Linked DNA regions of Tribolium castaneum. The protein of the gene in region 2 interacts with the protein of the main gene of each other region in a pairwise test. Links are inferred from orthologs where the notes say so. Each region holds a gene or a part of one and is shown on either strand. Other genes may lie near its edges.

Evidence for each region. The genes of interacting proteins can lie anywhere in the genome.
Region 1: the proteins of Snr1 (region 2) and RpS3A interact in a two-hybrid assay, tested with the Drosophila melanogaster proteins (2 studies listed by BioGRID). The link is inferred for Tribolium castaneum from reciprocal best matches to the Drosophila melanogaster genes Snr1 and RpS3A.

Annotation. Positions count from the first base shown.
Region 1 is NC_087401.1:15,473,819-15,477,160, reverse strand, and holds RpS3A (small ribosomal subunit protein eS1), read left to right. Parts: upstream 1-1,398; 5' UTR 1,399-1,472; coding exon 1,473-1,534; intron 1,535-1,659; coding exon 1,660-1,883; intron 1,884-2,048; coding exon 2,049-2,251; intron 2,252-2,435; coding exon 2,436-2,750; 3' UTR 2,751-2,796; downstream 2,797-3,342. Other genes in the region: e(r) (enhancer of rudimentary homolog), read left to right, coding at 8-10, 61-246, 292-414; NADH-cytochrome b5 reductase-like, read right to left, coding at 490-1,359; Had1 (lambda-crystallin), read right to left, coding at 2,801-3,332. UniProt on the Drosophila melanogaster protein: Essential for oogenesis; required for late follicle cell development.
Region 2 is NC_087401.1:13,705,394-13,709,487, reverse strand, and holds the start of Snr1 (SWI/SNF-related matrix-associated actin-dependent regulator of chromatin subfamily B member 1), read left to right. Parts: upstream 1-1,147; 5' UTR 1,148-1,373; coding exon 1,374-1,645; intron 1,646-1,692; coding exon 1,693-2,000; intron 2,001-4,061; coding exon 4,062-4,094.

The DNA of each region.
Region 1 (3,342 bases), about 1.8 Mb from region 2:
TTGCGTTATGGTGAGTCAGGTCTGGCTATGGGGGCCCCCTTAAACATTTTTGTGTTGTAGGCACACACTATTTTGCTCGTCCAGCCGGGGGCTAACCCCGAGACTCGCACCTACTCAGATTACGAGTCGGTGAATGAGTGTATGGAAGGTGTTTGTAAAATATACGAGGAGCATTTAAAGCGCCGGAACCCCAATACTCCCACAATCACCTACGATATTTCCCAGTTGTTTGATTTTGTCGATCAGGTATTTGTGCTAATTGTTGCAATTTTTCGTAAAAGTGGCTTTCAGTTGTCCGATCTGAGTTGCTTGGTGTACCAGAAATCGACAAACACCTACGCCCCCTATAATAAGGACTGGATAAAGGAGAAAATCTATATCTTGCTGAGGCAAGCAGCAGGACATGCAGACTAAGGGAAAAACTAAACTAGAATCTTACTTTAAGTTTTACTTAACGTTTTCTTTAATTATAAATGTATTAAACCTAGGTTAAAACACGTAAACATGACTGCTTTCAATTCCTAACCGGTCTATTATTTCTTTAATTTCCCGCCCAAATGTTTCACTCCCGCTTATCATGACTTGAACTTGACCCAACTTTCCTTGGACGTAATTTTCTAAATCACAGAAAGACATTTTTTTATTATGAATAGTCTCGTGGTACTTTGCCACGTTTTGATCACAGTTATTGCAAAAAACCTCGTAATTAAAATTCCAAAACGACCCCAACTCATATAATTCGTCCCTCAGTAAAATATCGTCACAATTCCGGACACAAAAAAATAATTTAACAAAACTTTCACACTCTTCATTGTGCACAACAATATCACGGATTAGGGCGTATAAGGGGGCTATTCCGGTCCCCTGAGCGATAAAAACCAAAAACTTGTGCGCATAATCGGGGGCAAACTCGCCGTAAGGCCCCCGCCAGGACGTTTCGCCCCCCACTTGCATTGTTTTGAACAGTTGGGACATCCGTCCCGTGTCGTATAACCTGACCAGGACCGTAAACTCCAAACTTGCATTTTGGGGCACCGGAATGGGGGTGTAGGCCCTTGTGAATTCACCTTGGGGGTCCCGCCCCCTTAACAAGAAATACTGTCCCGGCTTGTAGTCCAAACAATTCGGTTGTCTCTCCCTACAATCGGCGTATTTAAACGTGTAAAAAAACACACTTTCGTTGATTTTTTTCCGTCCAGTTAGCACAAAAACTGTGTAAGAAGTGGGGTTAAGTGCATTGACAGCGCCACTTTTTTCTCGCCCTAGTTTTTGGTATTTCCTCAACTGGGCCTCGTACACGTCCAAAATGCACGGATTGCAACCCGAATTGCAACAATCAGCCTCGTCTGGGGGCTCCATAGCCTCAAAAACCGGGCGCTAGCGCGCATGCGCGTGCCATTTCTCTGGTAATTGTTAGTAATTTTCGCGCGGTGGTTGTGGTACCGCAACCTCTTCTCGTGTGGCGGTTCAAGATGGCAGTTGGTAAAAATAAGGGGCTGTCCAAAGGCGGCAAAAAGGGCGTTAAGAAGAAGATGTAAGTCAAAAATTTGTACTAAATTGTGTGCCCCGGTGCTGTCTAGGCGTCCCGCCGGTGAAAACCGGGCGAAAATCGGCCGGATGGGTGGGAAAAAGTGTGATAACGTGGGGTTGTTTTTGTAGTGTGGACCCGTTCACCCGCAAAGACTGGTACGATGTTAAGGCCCCCTCGATGTTTGCCACCAGGCAGGTGGGCAAGACGCTGGTGAACCGTACGCAGGGTACGAAAATCGCGTCCGAGGGGCTCAAGGGGCGCGTGTTTGAGGTGTCTTTGGCCGACTTGCAGAATGATAATGATGCTGAGCGGTCGTTCAGGAAGTTCAGGCTCATTGCCGAGGATGTTCAAGGTGCGTAGCGTTCATTATTTAAAAAACTGTTCCAGGTGGCTTTACATGATGTGAACACCCAGCTCGCATTGAATTAAAACTGTTGAGAATTTTGAAGTCTGACCCAATTTTACCCTTCTTTGGGGGGCTTGATGTGTTACAGTGTTTCAAATTTGGCGGTTTCAGGTCGCAACGTCCTGACCAACTTCCACGGCATGGACTTGACCACCGATAAGTTGCGTTCAATGGTCAAAAAGTGGCAAACTTTGATTGAAGCCTCAGCTGATGTCAAAACCACCGATGGTTATTTGTTGCGTGTTTTCTGCATCGGCTTCACCAATAAGGACCAGTTGTCGCAACGTAAAACTTGTTACGCCCAACATACCCAGGTAATCACTCGTGTGGTTGAACTATTATTTAAAATTGGCGCCGTTTTGTGATGAGACACTCAGCTCGCATTGATTCAAACGTGATGAGAATTCATGTTCCCTATTAAAATCAAAGTCTGATTGTAATTTTCTTGAAAAAGTGGGGGCAAGCTGTGGCAATTGTTGATCGATTGTTTGCCGTCAGGTCCGTGGCATTCGCAAGAAGATGGTGGAAATCATCACCCGGGACATCACCGGGAGTGACCTCAAGGAAGTCGTAAATAAACTACTTCCGGATTCGATCGCGAAAGACATTGAAAAGGCCTGCCAGGGGATTTACCCACTTCATGACGTGTACATTCGTAAAGTGAAAGTCTTGAAGAAGCCGCGTTTTGAGCTTTCCAAGCTTTTGGAATTGCACGGGGATGGGGGCAAAGGGGGGTCGGGTGAGCCCGGGGAAGCGGGTGCTAAAGTGGACAGACCCGAAGGATATGAACCACCAGTCCAAGAGTCTGTTTAATTTAATTGTTTATAAGAAAAAACAAAAAATAAACGTTTGAATACGACGTGCTATATTGATTTTTTCAATTGGCTCAGTTTGGTCAGAGCCAAGTCCCGCCAATTCCTGCGTTCCTGTAACTTATCCAACGGGACCGAATTCTCCAACTGTTTGGCGATTTCCTGCACAAGGGGGCCCTCCCACTTTTGCAACGGTTTAAAGTCCTTGCTGACTGAATAAATCGTGTTTGAATATTTCTTGCAATAGTCGACGAAGCCCTCGGCGTTAAGGTGAGTGGTTTCAAGGGGGCCCAGAAAGGCGTAGCGCATGCCGAGCCCGTCGGACATGACCTTGTCGATGTCTTTGACATCGAGGACTCCGTCGGAGACAAGGTTCCACGTTTCGTTCAAAAGGGCGTACTGTAGGCGATTTACAACAAAACCGGGGACTTCCTTAGTCAGTGAGACGGGAGTTTGCCCGATTTCCTCCATAATAGCGCGCGTTTTTTTGGTGACTGCGGGGTCAGTCCAGGGCGCTGGCACGATCTCGACCAAGGGCACGTAATACGGGGGGTTCACCGGGTGCGACACCACGATGTTTTTCCTACAAGTCG
Region 2 (4,094 bases):
CTTTTCATTTTTTTATGTTCGTAAAAATAAAAAAGTTATGAGACCTCAAAGTCTCTCTAGGTGTGACGTCGGGCGGCACAATTGACTCAGCTGGTTAAAATTAACATGTTTCCAAAATTATTTCGCTGTTCCTCAATTTTTTCCATTTAGCTATTGCAGTCCTATATCTTTTATGAATGTTTAATGAACTATAACTAAATAAAATAAATAAAATTCAGAAATCTCACGTTATAAAACCGTTGGATATCAAAAAATGAGAACAAGACATCTTTAGAAAAACAAGAGAATCGTAATTTCATATCTTTGAAAACACTAGGTTTATAATTATAAACCACATCTACTTATTCATCGAACGTATCTTCAAAAGCATTAACAAATAAAGAAATTGTATTTCTGTAAATAACAAGTCGTTTGTAGAACACTTATTTTTTTACATATTTTTTTTTGTACAAAACATTCTGCAAGCATCGCTTGTTCTATAAATCATAAAAATTTCCATTAGTTAATGTTTTTAGTTTTTTTTAAATAAAATAATATTTTATTAATATAAATATTTCTCATTAATTAATATTTATTATTTATAAGAAATTGTAGAAAAAATCTGATAAAATTCGAAGGCTTACAGAAAGAAATAAAGCAAAAAAAATCACAAACGCTGATTTTTGTGTGATTATTTAAATGGATTATTATTGGTTATTAGTGATTCATTACAGTATCTCCTTAAACAAATTACTTCAATTATCACAAATAACACTTTCTTTCAATATTTATATCTTTTAAGTCAATAAAATTATCCGGAGATCTCAATACAATGCCGAAAGGAACAGTAGTGTGTAAATCGCCGTAAATGACCCAATACTTAACAGTTTTTGATTACGCAATAGATTAAATAACTCTTTGTAATCAAAAATCTTTTTCACTTTTTTATCAAAGTCCAACATAAAACACTTTATAATCACGAAAAAACGCAAAACCAAAGGCAACACTAGTATTTACCGGCATATAATTTTAAATTGACTCTCTCTAATGTAAAAAATTAACAGTACACACGCAGAATTGCTAAATAATCCATTAAATGAGCAATTACCAAAACTTGTTACTGTTTTCGGCAAGTACGACATGTCGTCACCAGAGGACGCCTAGTTAATGCATTTCTGGTGATTTCAGTTTTGTCAATTAGACTAGCCACCAAAAGTGTTTTTTTACGAATTGTTTGAATTAATTAACCCCAAGTACCATCTCGTGCAAAACCAAACGAAATAATGTGAATCGTGTCCTTGCTTTGTGTAATTTATGCCCGTATTTTCCATTTGAGTGCCCTGTTGACATTTGTTGGTGTCACCTAACCTCACAGTGTTAAAGGACGCGGCAAAATGGCCCTCCGAACATTCGGTGAAAAACCGATAACTTTCCAATTGGAGGAAAATGGGGAGTATTACTGTGTGGGCTCCGAGGTGGGGAACTACCTGCGCCTGTTCCGGGGTTCCCTCTACAAGAAATACCCCGGAATGTACCGCAGGTCAATCACAAACGAGGAACGCAAACGCCTCATCGAGCTGGGCTTGAGCCAGCACGTTCTGGCCAGCAGTGTCTCACTGCTTCGGGCCTCGGAAGTCGAGGATATCATTGAGGGAAATGACGAAAAGTTGGTTTGTTTTTTGGGGGTTTTGTTGTTATTTGTTGATTATTTAGGTATAAGGCTGTTTCGGTGCACACTTCGGACCCGCCGATGCCGAGGGAGAGTAAATCGAAGAAGTCGATGCAATGGGTGCCCTCACTCCCAAACTCCAGTCATTTGGACGCTGTGCCCCAAGCCACCCCGATTAATCGGAACAGAGTGGCGGCGAAGAAAGTTCGGACGTTTCCGTTATGTTTTGATGATACTGATCCAGAGCTGAATATGCAAAATGCGGCACAAGGGGAGTTGTTGGTCCCGATAAGGCTGGATATGGAAATTGAGGGGCAGAAGCTGAGAGACACTTTCACGTGGAATAAAAACGGTAATTTTTTGGGTTTTTCTAATCACAGTACGCTCTGCATTTGAAATAAAGTTGTAACTTTTACATTATTTATTCTTATCAACTTATTTTCGAATACTTATTAGCGCATTTTGATCTGAAATTTAATTCTTGAATAATTTTTAAACCTGCCACCAGTCATTTAAACTAATCAAGATTGCGTGATACGAGAAAAATATGTTGGCAATGACTGTAGTCTAGTAACTAAGGTTACATCTGTTATCTAAATTGACACCATATTGTTGATACTGGGTCCTGATTATTAACTACAAACTTGTAGTAAATGATAAATTTTTTGATAAAACGCATTTTTAAACACTTTTAATATGATTTATAACTTTTTTTGAGTTTAATTTAATTAAAACACGTCAAAAGATCATCTAAATATGTCGAAAATGACCTGAATTTGACACTCTTTAAAAACAGTTCCAATTAGATTAAAGTGTATGTTTTCTTTAAAGTGACTTTGCTTTTTTGTTGAAGCAAAACTTCATAAAAACGCTAAAAAATCATCTAAATATGTTGAGTAATAGCGTTATTTCCAGATTATTTTGCCTTTTTTTTATTAAACTTATCTTGTTTTTGAGTATGAGACTTACTTGTTCTTGAAAGTTTTGTCAAAAAATGACTAAATTAGGTCGAAATTGACGTTTTCTTCAGTAGTGATTTGGACACATTTCGTGAAAATGCACCGAAAAATCATCTAAATATGTCAAAACTTATGTCATTTTGACAATGTTTTCTCTTTTTTGAAAACTTTTTTTTTATTAAATACCCCGAAAAATATCTAAATATATCGAAAGTTACGGTTGGTTCGACATTATTTTAGTTTTTGTCGTTAGATTTATTTTTTTTAGCGAGAAACTGACTTTTTTGTAAAATTTTGTCAAAAATAAGCAAATTGAGATAAAATTGACGTCCTAGTTTTAAGAATTTCTGGTAGGTTTATTTGTTTTGGAGCCAGGAACTGCAAAGTTTCGTGACAGAATTAATCAAATGTAATGTTTTTTTTAACAGCTTAATTTCTTAAAATAATCTAGCTTTGTTTTTATACGAAATTGCATTAAAATGCGCCGAAAAATTTACTTTCATATTTTTCTTGCCTTTTTCATTAAGTAAGTAAGTAAGTTTTTGAGCGAAAATCTCCATTGTTTTGAAGAATTTTGTCAAAAAGCCAATTTAAATAAAAATTGAGGTGCTTTTTCAGTCTATTTAATATATTATTATTTATTAATTATTCTAACCAACTGTATTTCTGTTGAAAAATGTACTAAACACGCTCAAAAATGTAAAATAATTGAGTTTTAAGTTTAAAATGGTGATAAAACTCCCAAAAAATGCAAAATTATCACCATTTTTGACGCAGGTTAGTGACTTTTCGGCTTATTTTTGAGAAATTTAATAATAATAAAAGTGTTTTATTCTCCCATTTTTGTTATTTGATAATTGTAGAGTGGGCCCAAGTCCCAAACCTTTGTTTTTATCTATAGCCGACCTAATTTAAAGTTTAGACCAAGTAAATACCAACTCAAGAAAAAAAAAACTTTTTTTTTTTTTCAGAAGTTTCGTTTTTTCTTCTGTCTTTTTGTTTTTTAGTTCGAACATGTATTTGACTGTCATCCTTCATCATCAACAGAGTATTTTTTTTAATTACACAATATTTTGTGCATTGTTGTTAGTTTCGTAGTTTTTTTATTTTTATTATTTTTATATTTGTTGAAATCGGGATATTAGAAATTATATTTAGGGTTTCAATTACCAACTGTTAAACTTTTATAAAAAAAATTTAACAAGACGAAAATACAAAACAACCGTTGGGTATTTTTGAGAGACGATTTTTTAAAATAAAAAAAATAAAAAAAAATTGTATAAAAAATAATGTTTGGTGCTTTTGAGCGACTAGTTTTTGGTTTTTTTTTCAATATCAAAAAAATCAGCAAACGTAACTTTAGTCACTTATATAGTTATTGACAACGTATATCTCGCAACTCGATTCAGTTTATGCAAATTATTAGCATTAACAAAAATCATATCACAATTTAGAGAGTCTCATCACCCCCGAACAATTCGCCGAAG